Linked DNA regions of Schizosaccharomyces pombe. The protein of the gene in region 1 interacts with the protein of each later gene in a pairwise test. Each region holds a gene or a part of one and is shown in the gene's direction. Other genes may lie near its edges. The genes, in order: dpb2 and psf2.

The links.
Region 2: the proteins of dpb2 (region 1) and psf2 interact in a two-hybrid assay, tested with the Schizosaccharomyces pombe proteins (one study listed by BioGRID).

Annotation. Positions count from the first base shown.
Region 1 is NC_003423.3:3,657,042-3,660,972, reverse strand, and holds the start of dpb2 (DNA polymerase epsilon catalytic subunit B Dpb2), read left to right. Parts: upstream 1-2,042; 5' UTR 2,043-2,220; coding exon 2,221-3,738; intron 3,739-3,780; coding exon 3,781-3,891; intron 3,892-3,931. Other genes in the region: mpe1 (RBBP6 family ubiquitin-protein ligase E3), read left to right, coding at 1-800. UniProt on the Schizosaccharomyces pombe protein: As accessory component of the DNA polymerase epsilon (DNA polymerase II) participates in chromosomal DNA replication.
Region 2 is NC_003423.3:1,227,396-1,231,173, reverse strand, and holds psf2 (GINS complex subunit Psf2), read left to right. Parts: upstream 1-1,986; 5' UTR 1,987-2,146; coding exon 2,147-2,698; 3' UTR 2,699-2,866; coding exon of another isoform or gene 2,867-3,008; 3' UTR 3,009-3,026; downstream 3,027-3,778. Other genes in the region: orotate phosphoribosyltransferase Ura5, read right to left, coding at 1-95; acetylglutamate synthase Arg6, read right to left, coding at 381-1,883; nbl1 (borealin N terminal domain-containing protein), read right to left, coding at 2,867-3,008, 3,080-3,248, 3,298-3,412. UniProt on the Schizosaccharomyces pombe protein: The GINS complex plays an essential role in the initiation of DNA replication. Has a role in chromosome segregation and is required for bir1 localization.

The DNA of each region.
Region 1 (3,931 bases):
GAATACCTCGATCTTTTTTGAAAAACGTTGAAAGGCCTGCTGAAGGCGACGCTGCTAATATTATGATAAATGCTGAAGGAGATTATGTTGTAGTACAACCAGACGTAGCGTCTTGGGAAACATATCAATCTCGTAAAGCAGCTTTAACTGCGAATGACGTGTATAAAATGCAGCCTCCGAACATTTCTTTGGCATGTACATTATGTAAGAAATTAGCAAGAAATGCTTGCAGAACACCTTGTTGTGATAAACTTTTTTGTGAAGAGTGTATTCAAACGGCTCTTTTAGATTCGGATTTTGAATGTCCAAATTGCCATCGAAAAGATGTTTTGTTGGATACTTTAAACCCCGATTACCAAAAACAGAGGGAAATTGAGGCAGTCGTCAAATCTGTACTCGGTTCTAATAGCAAAAACAGTGATAAGGTTGGTACTTCTGACGATAACAATACACCAATGTCTGAAAAGCGCAAGCGTGAAGATGACGATGCAAATGGACCTAACAAATTTGCGGCAAGATCTTCTGCTGTGTTTTCCAAAGCCACCGCTGAACCAGCTTTTAAGTCAGCTATGGCCATCCCAGATATGCCATCAATGCCTCATGTCCAAGGGTTTCCGGCTCCTTTTCCCCCTTTTATGATGCCAGGCTTACCTCAAATGCCGCCTATGATGATGAATGCAATTGCTGGCCAAGTATATCATAATAATCGAAATCCACCTCGTACAAACTCTCGTCCTTCAAATGCGTCTGTTCCCCCACCATCCTCGCTACATAAGAATCCCCCTACTAAAACAAATTAGTTATTACTTATTTCTGATTTTCTTGTAAACTTGCGTTTACTGTTTACGTTGTTGAAAGTCCTTTTTTCAGCTATAATAGGGACAGTTACACATATTCATTCAAAAATTTTTATACTAATACATTCAATTAATACAATCTAATTTATGGAGCGTTTTTTTAATATGAGAGTAAATTCATATCTATTGACTTTTGAATTACTTCGAAGTGGATTTAAAAGTATTTAGTATCATATTTACATCAAAAAATGGATTGCTAACGGATTTGATGCTCAGCAAATTACTGCTGACGCTGATCAGGTGCCTTAACAAAAATTGTAATCTAAGAAATTAAAAATACTCAGAAAGTCATATTATATAAATCAGTAGTAATGTATTTTTTTTTATTTATTTGCAATATTGCAATAAATTTTTCAAAAAGCTTGTAGTAATAATAATAGAGAACAAACAATTCTTAGACTAAAGTTTCCGAGTAGAAGGATCAAGGATTCAGTACTCCTTAATTTTACAAAAGAATATTTATAAAAATAAGCTAATTTTCTAAATCAATTGACATTACAATTCGCCGATCAAATGTTTTATCAGAGAATATTATAAAATCAAAATATTTAGCTAAGCGAAATTTAAATGTATTTTCAATGCTAACAACACGTATTCAGATAATCTATTTATAGGCTTCTCGAAATGTTCCTATTATATAAAACAGCTTAGTTTACCTAAGTTTTACTTTATTTATTAACACATAATTTCAGCTTTCGTAAAGGAATTAATTATACTCAACATTTTGTTAGACATACTATAGTACGCTATGATACAGTACGTAGAGAATCACTATATATCATGTGTCCTAATTATTCATCGTACCACGTATGATACGATATTGAAATTGATTTTAATGATAGTCTATTAAGACCTATATCATTTAAATACTATTAATAGAGTTACTGATAAACTTCGTTCGTCAGTTCAGTTATAAGCTATGTTAGTGATAGTAACGCTATAAGTTGGATAGTATAATATCTATACTTAGTTGCTACTTATATTACCTTTATATCGCAATTTAATAGATCGCAAGAAAACCTCACCGCAATTCAGCGTATCGTTAATATGGATATTAAACTGCGTAGCTGACACAGTTTATGATTTTATAGTAGTGCGTTAAAATATTTTAATGAACCAGATTGAGAAGTTAGCATTTAGCATTTTGATATTAGACAAACAGTGAATAAAGGGTACACCATAGCTATCATCTACAGTAGTCCTTTGAAACTTTTTCACTTGAATCCAAAAAATTATTGATTACATCCTATGTTGATTAGAAAACCATATACATTGATCTGTCCTTGATACAGTGAGTGGGCACTAAACGATTCTATAAAATCAAAAAGCGAAGGGTTTGCATTAATATATTTCTTAAAATAGAATGAACAATTCCATTACGGATTCGGTAGAAAAAAAACCTGAACAGGTTAGTTTTGAAGTTCAACCCAATGCCCTTCGTCCGGTTGCTTTCCACGTATTTACCAGGAAGTACGATCTCAATATTAATCGTGACTCACTGCAGGAATTAGCATCTTTCGTATCTAAAAAATGCGGCTCACAATGGCGTTCCCAATGTGAGCCCTTACTAGACGAAATTGCAAAAACTTGGAAACGAGTTCATGAAACTCAACCTATAGTTACTCGACCTCTTTTGATCCCTGTCTTGGCAAATTTAAATGTTCCGCATGAAGTTCGCGTATCTTCCTTAGCAAGAGTTCAAACGCTTGAGACAACCGGTTCATTTTTAAATTCGAGTAATTCGGAAATCCGTGAAACTATAAAAAATGAGAAATACTTTAGAGTCCTTGATGCTTTTAAAATGCCTAAATTTAAGTACGATTCATCAAGAAAGGTTTTCGTTTTATCAAAACAGTCTCCTACTTTAATGGCATCTGCAAGTGCCTGCACAGATATGCTTAACCGCAGATTCAATGTTGTATATAGCCGTATTTTACGCAATGAATCTTTTCAAACACCTTCTTTCAGTGGCTCTTTCTCTCAAACAGGTACATATCAATTAACTCCTATTCGCAATTTATTAGGTCGAGCTGGAAACACATTTTTGTTGTTCGGACTCTTGACTATAGCTCCCGATGGTACCTTATGGCTGGAAGATCTTGACAGTCAAGTTCAACTAGACGTATCACAGGCAGAACAAGGGTTCGGTCTCTTTTGCCCTGGCTGCTTGGTACTTGTTAATGGTCAATTTCTAAGTTCTGGGCTATTTTTAGTTTTTGAGCTTGGTCATCCTCCCATTGAACGCCGTGATGCTTCCTTGAAGGCCCTTAATAATTTAGATATTTTGGGGTTGAATATGGATGCAAAGCAACTTGCTCTTCTCCGTCACGCGGAACAGGCATATCAGTCACAAGCTTTTGTTTGTATCAGCGAGGTTCATCTTGACAACCATCAAACTTTCTATGCATTAGAAAAAATATTCCAAAAATATGAATCCTCTGAAGCTGTGCCGTTTTGTATAATATTATGTGGAAGTTTTATGTCTTCCGCTTTCCATAATTCAGGAAGCTCAATTCAATATAAAGAAGGATTTAATAAGCTTGCAGCTTCTCTTGAGAAGTTTCCAAAAATTTGCGAAAAGACAAAATTCATATTTGTCCCCGGTCCAAACGACCCTTGGACGACAAATGGGATATCCTTAATGCCTAAGCATTCAATACCCCTTCATTTCGTAAATCGGATCCAACGCGTTTGTAAGCATACCATTTTCGCTTCAAACCCTTGCCGCATCATTTTCTTTTCTCAGGAAGTACTAATTTATAGAGACGATATATCAGGAAGATTTCAAAGGAATTCATTAAAGTTTGGGAAGACTCCCCAAGGTACCTCCAATATTAATTCTATACCCCTTGCAGAACAACAAGTGCATCAGCAAAGAAAAGTAAGCAAGTTTCTTATAATTTTTTTATGCTAATTTGTTTAGTTGGTTAAAACAGTTTTAGATCAGTCTCACCTTTCACCGTTTCCATCGAGAACACGACCAATATTGTGGGATTTTGATTATGCTTTATCAGTTTTCCCGCTTCCTAGCTGTGTACGTTATAAATCTTTTTTTTCTTTGCTAATATTTTTAG
Region 2 (3,778 bases), 2.4 Mb from region 1:
TATGGAGATTTTCTGCCTGATTTTAAGGTGAAAGTTCCAAACTTCAAAACATTATGTTCTAAGGCACGACGCAACAACTCAAGTTTATAAGACATGTTTACTACTAGTTTTGTTGATAAACGTTGATACTCACAAAAGAAAAAAGCTAGTATCACCTTTTCTAAGCTCTACATGGGGGTTATGTGGGGGAATAAACAAAAATCATAACTAAAGAAAAATGCAAGTTTGTAGGCAAACTACTCAATCTATAATCTAATGTGCAAAAGAGAATTAATGTCCTATCAAAATGGACTTTTTTCCTTTTATTAAAAAGTTTGACAAGTGCTTTTGAAGAAGCGAAATAATCTTGTCTCTGATAAAGTGCAATCGTTAACTTCCACTCAATTCAACCATGTTGGCTGAATTTTATCAATAACGCTCATATACTGGTTCACTCGATCCAAATTTCTGACATGTGAGTCTCCAGTCCAGAAAAGTTTCCAAGGTGTTTTGCTTGACTTTAAGGAGCCTACACTTCTTTCAAAGTACCATTTATTGACTGGATTAGTCAGGCGAGAGCGCCATATCAACTCTTTGGGAAATAAATCAGTCATAACATTAAACATAACATCAGATATTGCTGCTGAACCCTGGGCTCCTTGTGAGACGGCAAGCTTATCAAGATAAGGGACCTTTTCATTCGTTGTTCCATCTGGTTGTTCATAAGTTACAATGGCTGTCCCTAAATAGTCCCCTGCAATAATGACTGCAGCTAGCGAATTCTTCAACCTATCTAAATATGCGTCCATATCAAGCGTTCGCTTAAAGGAGTCATTAATTAAAACCCAAAGCCTTTCCCACGAAACGGAGCCATCAGTTAGACATTTCGGACCTAGGAATGTATATACCGGTACACCGCTACGCAAAACAGTTGTTTTCGTAATAGGAGATCGATCGCGCGGCAAGGAACATGAAATAATAGAGCGATCCGTCAAAACATTGTGAATTAACGGATTTTTGTCTAAGACAGGATTTGTAAGCATAGCATCCTCAGGCGTAGTGATTAGAGCAGAGGCATCATCCGGTAACATTTTCAAACAGCGTCTTACCAAAATCAAATTTTTTCTATGATAAGGTGGAAGTGTTTTCGCTAACTCGTCAAACTCTTGAGCCAGATTGATGAGAACATGACTAGAACCAGTTTGTCGTTTAGAACATGGCATGCCACCATTTTTATCAAGAATGACGATTCGGTCTACCCAAAACCCAAAGTTTGGCTTGTGTAACGAGTAAGTTAAACCAGCAAGAACCTCATTACCATCAATTGGAACCTCAATGACGTTGGGCATTAAAATCGAGCTTGGCACTATGACCGTGTAAAGTGAAGACAGCGCTTGAAAAATACCTTGCACATTCTCAACACTAGGGCCTTCAGGGCCCAATTGACATACAGAGGAGTAGCTAGGACGGGTTAACACTCCCGCTTTCGAAAAAATTTCCGAAACTCGAATGACTCTATTTTGCTGTTGCTGTAGCTCCTCAAAGATTGAAAGTTTACGTTTTTTCGCTACGACCGTACCATTCTCCAAATATTTAAAAGGAGATGTCATGCCAATTGGATTGGAAGTGGGAACAATCACTGATTGAATCCCTAAACGTGCCAGGCTATTTATACTTCGACCAATTCCATATAGGGTATTATCACTTAAAGAATCCACATCATCAATTTTGGTAATAGAAATTCTGTTTAAAAACGAACTCGATATTGGCTGAGCGAAGGATTTCTTGTTGGGAGAGCCATCCTTAAGCGAAGAATGTTTTTGCAAAAACCCTTTCGTAGACCTACGAGATTGGACTGATTTCAATATCCAAATAAGGTCTTGTGACAATGAAGGTTTTTGCATTCAAAATTATTACCTTAAAACGAGAAATATAAAAATTTGACAATCATATACCGATGACCTAAGAGCAAGATGTGATTTAGATGAGGGTGACTATTATGAGTCCGAAACCCACCACACAAAAAATTATGCTGTAAGGAATAACAACCAATAAATGCTATAAACGAACTCCAAAATAGAAAAACAAAACTTTAAATAAAAAAAGACATTAAGCCCAAAAACGGTACTATTGATAGGCATTTTTGTACTGTTCGTTGGTGATAGAGATGGCCTTACCAAGGGAACTTGAAATTTCATTCTCACCAGAGGAAATGGAATTTTTAGCTGGCAATGAGTATATTAACATTGTTCCTTCAGAAACAATGGATCAATTGCCGCTAGTTAGCGCGACGATTCCCATTATGAAGCCTCCCAAAAAATGTCGGGTTCCTTTATGGTTGGCTCTTGAGCTAAAAAAGCAAAATTTGGCAAGGATTGTACCTCCGGAATGGATGGAAATAGGCAAACTTGAAAACATACGAGATGATGAATTGGAAAACGAGACATTCTCAGAGTTGCCTTTTCGGTGGCTAGAAACGGCGCATTTATTGTTAAACTTCTGTGCTGATGATATCGAGGATGTTGAGGATATCAGGAGGATTTTGCTGGACATTCGAGAAGCTAGACAAAGTAAAGCAAGAACGGGATTGGAAGCCATTAATGAAGTTCAACTAACTTTGGATAATTTGGGTGCAATGGAAATTAACGAAATACGTCCTATATTTCGAGAGGTGATGGACAGAATGCGCAAAATTGTTCAAGTTTCCCAAGAAGAATGAGTTACTCATCAAAAGTAAAGTGGGAAATAAATGGACTTCACATGAGAATATTTCGGTATCGTGTGGATGATGTACTTTAAAAATAATGATAATGAATCCTACGAAGTGTTTATGAATACCAACTTTGTAGTAGTGAAATTTTATCACAGTAAGCAGTAGATGAGGGTTTCACACTTGCGACTTTGAACTCGATTTGGAAACGGTGGTGCTTTTTGATGAAGAAGAAGAGGAGGATGCCACCGTTTTTGTAGGTTGTCTAGCGGACTTTTGGGAGGAAAGCTCGTCTAGATTATAAAATTCTTTTATTTTTCTGAAATAGTAATTAGCAATTAGTGTTTCCAGTAGTACGTATGGCAAAGTAAAATTTGATATTACACTTACGTTCTCCACGGTGTGGCAGACACATTGCAGGAAAGATGGTTCTTTAGATCGCGCAGATGCATATTTCGTTGAGCGCGAGGAATAGCGGCGATACGCATTTCTCCTCGCATACGAATTGTTGAAGCAAGTAAACTAGCGTTTGAGCGCAAACGTCGTACTTTATCGGAAACTGAAAAATACCCGTTAACACTTTACTACTTCCAGGTACAAAAACTTACGTTCAAATGCTAAATTTTCAAGTATATCGTTCTTGTGTTCTTGGAGAATTCGCTGTCGTACTTGACGATGTTTCGTCTCTCCAAGCTCTTCCACTCTTTTACGCTTGTTCATCATTAAGCATTATAAATTATCAAAAAACAAAACAGATGTTTGCTAACAGCTGATCAAAAGACGGTACTTCTGGGTGCGCTGAAAAGGTGGTGGGAATAAGAGTTGTTGTATAAACAATAAATCTTCAACTAATATGTAAGTAACATCGTTACCTAATACTCAATATGTAAACAAACGTTAGAAAGGAGAGGATTGCACAAAAAAGCGTACCCAAAAGATATTTTATAAATTGAAAGAAGAATAATGACCTAGAATTAGAAAAAAGCAGCAAGTTTACAAAATAAAAGCGTTGAAACACATCACTTTAAAAGGTACATAAGAATTGATGATGCTTACTTCTAAGTAAATTATTAATAATATCAAATAAAA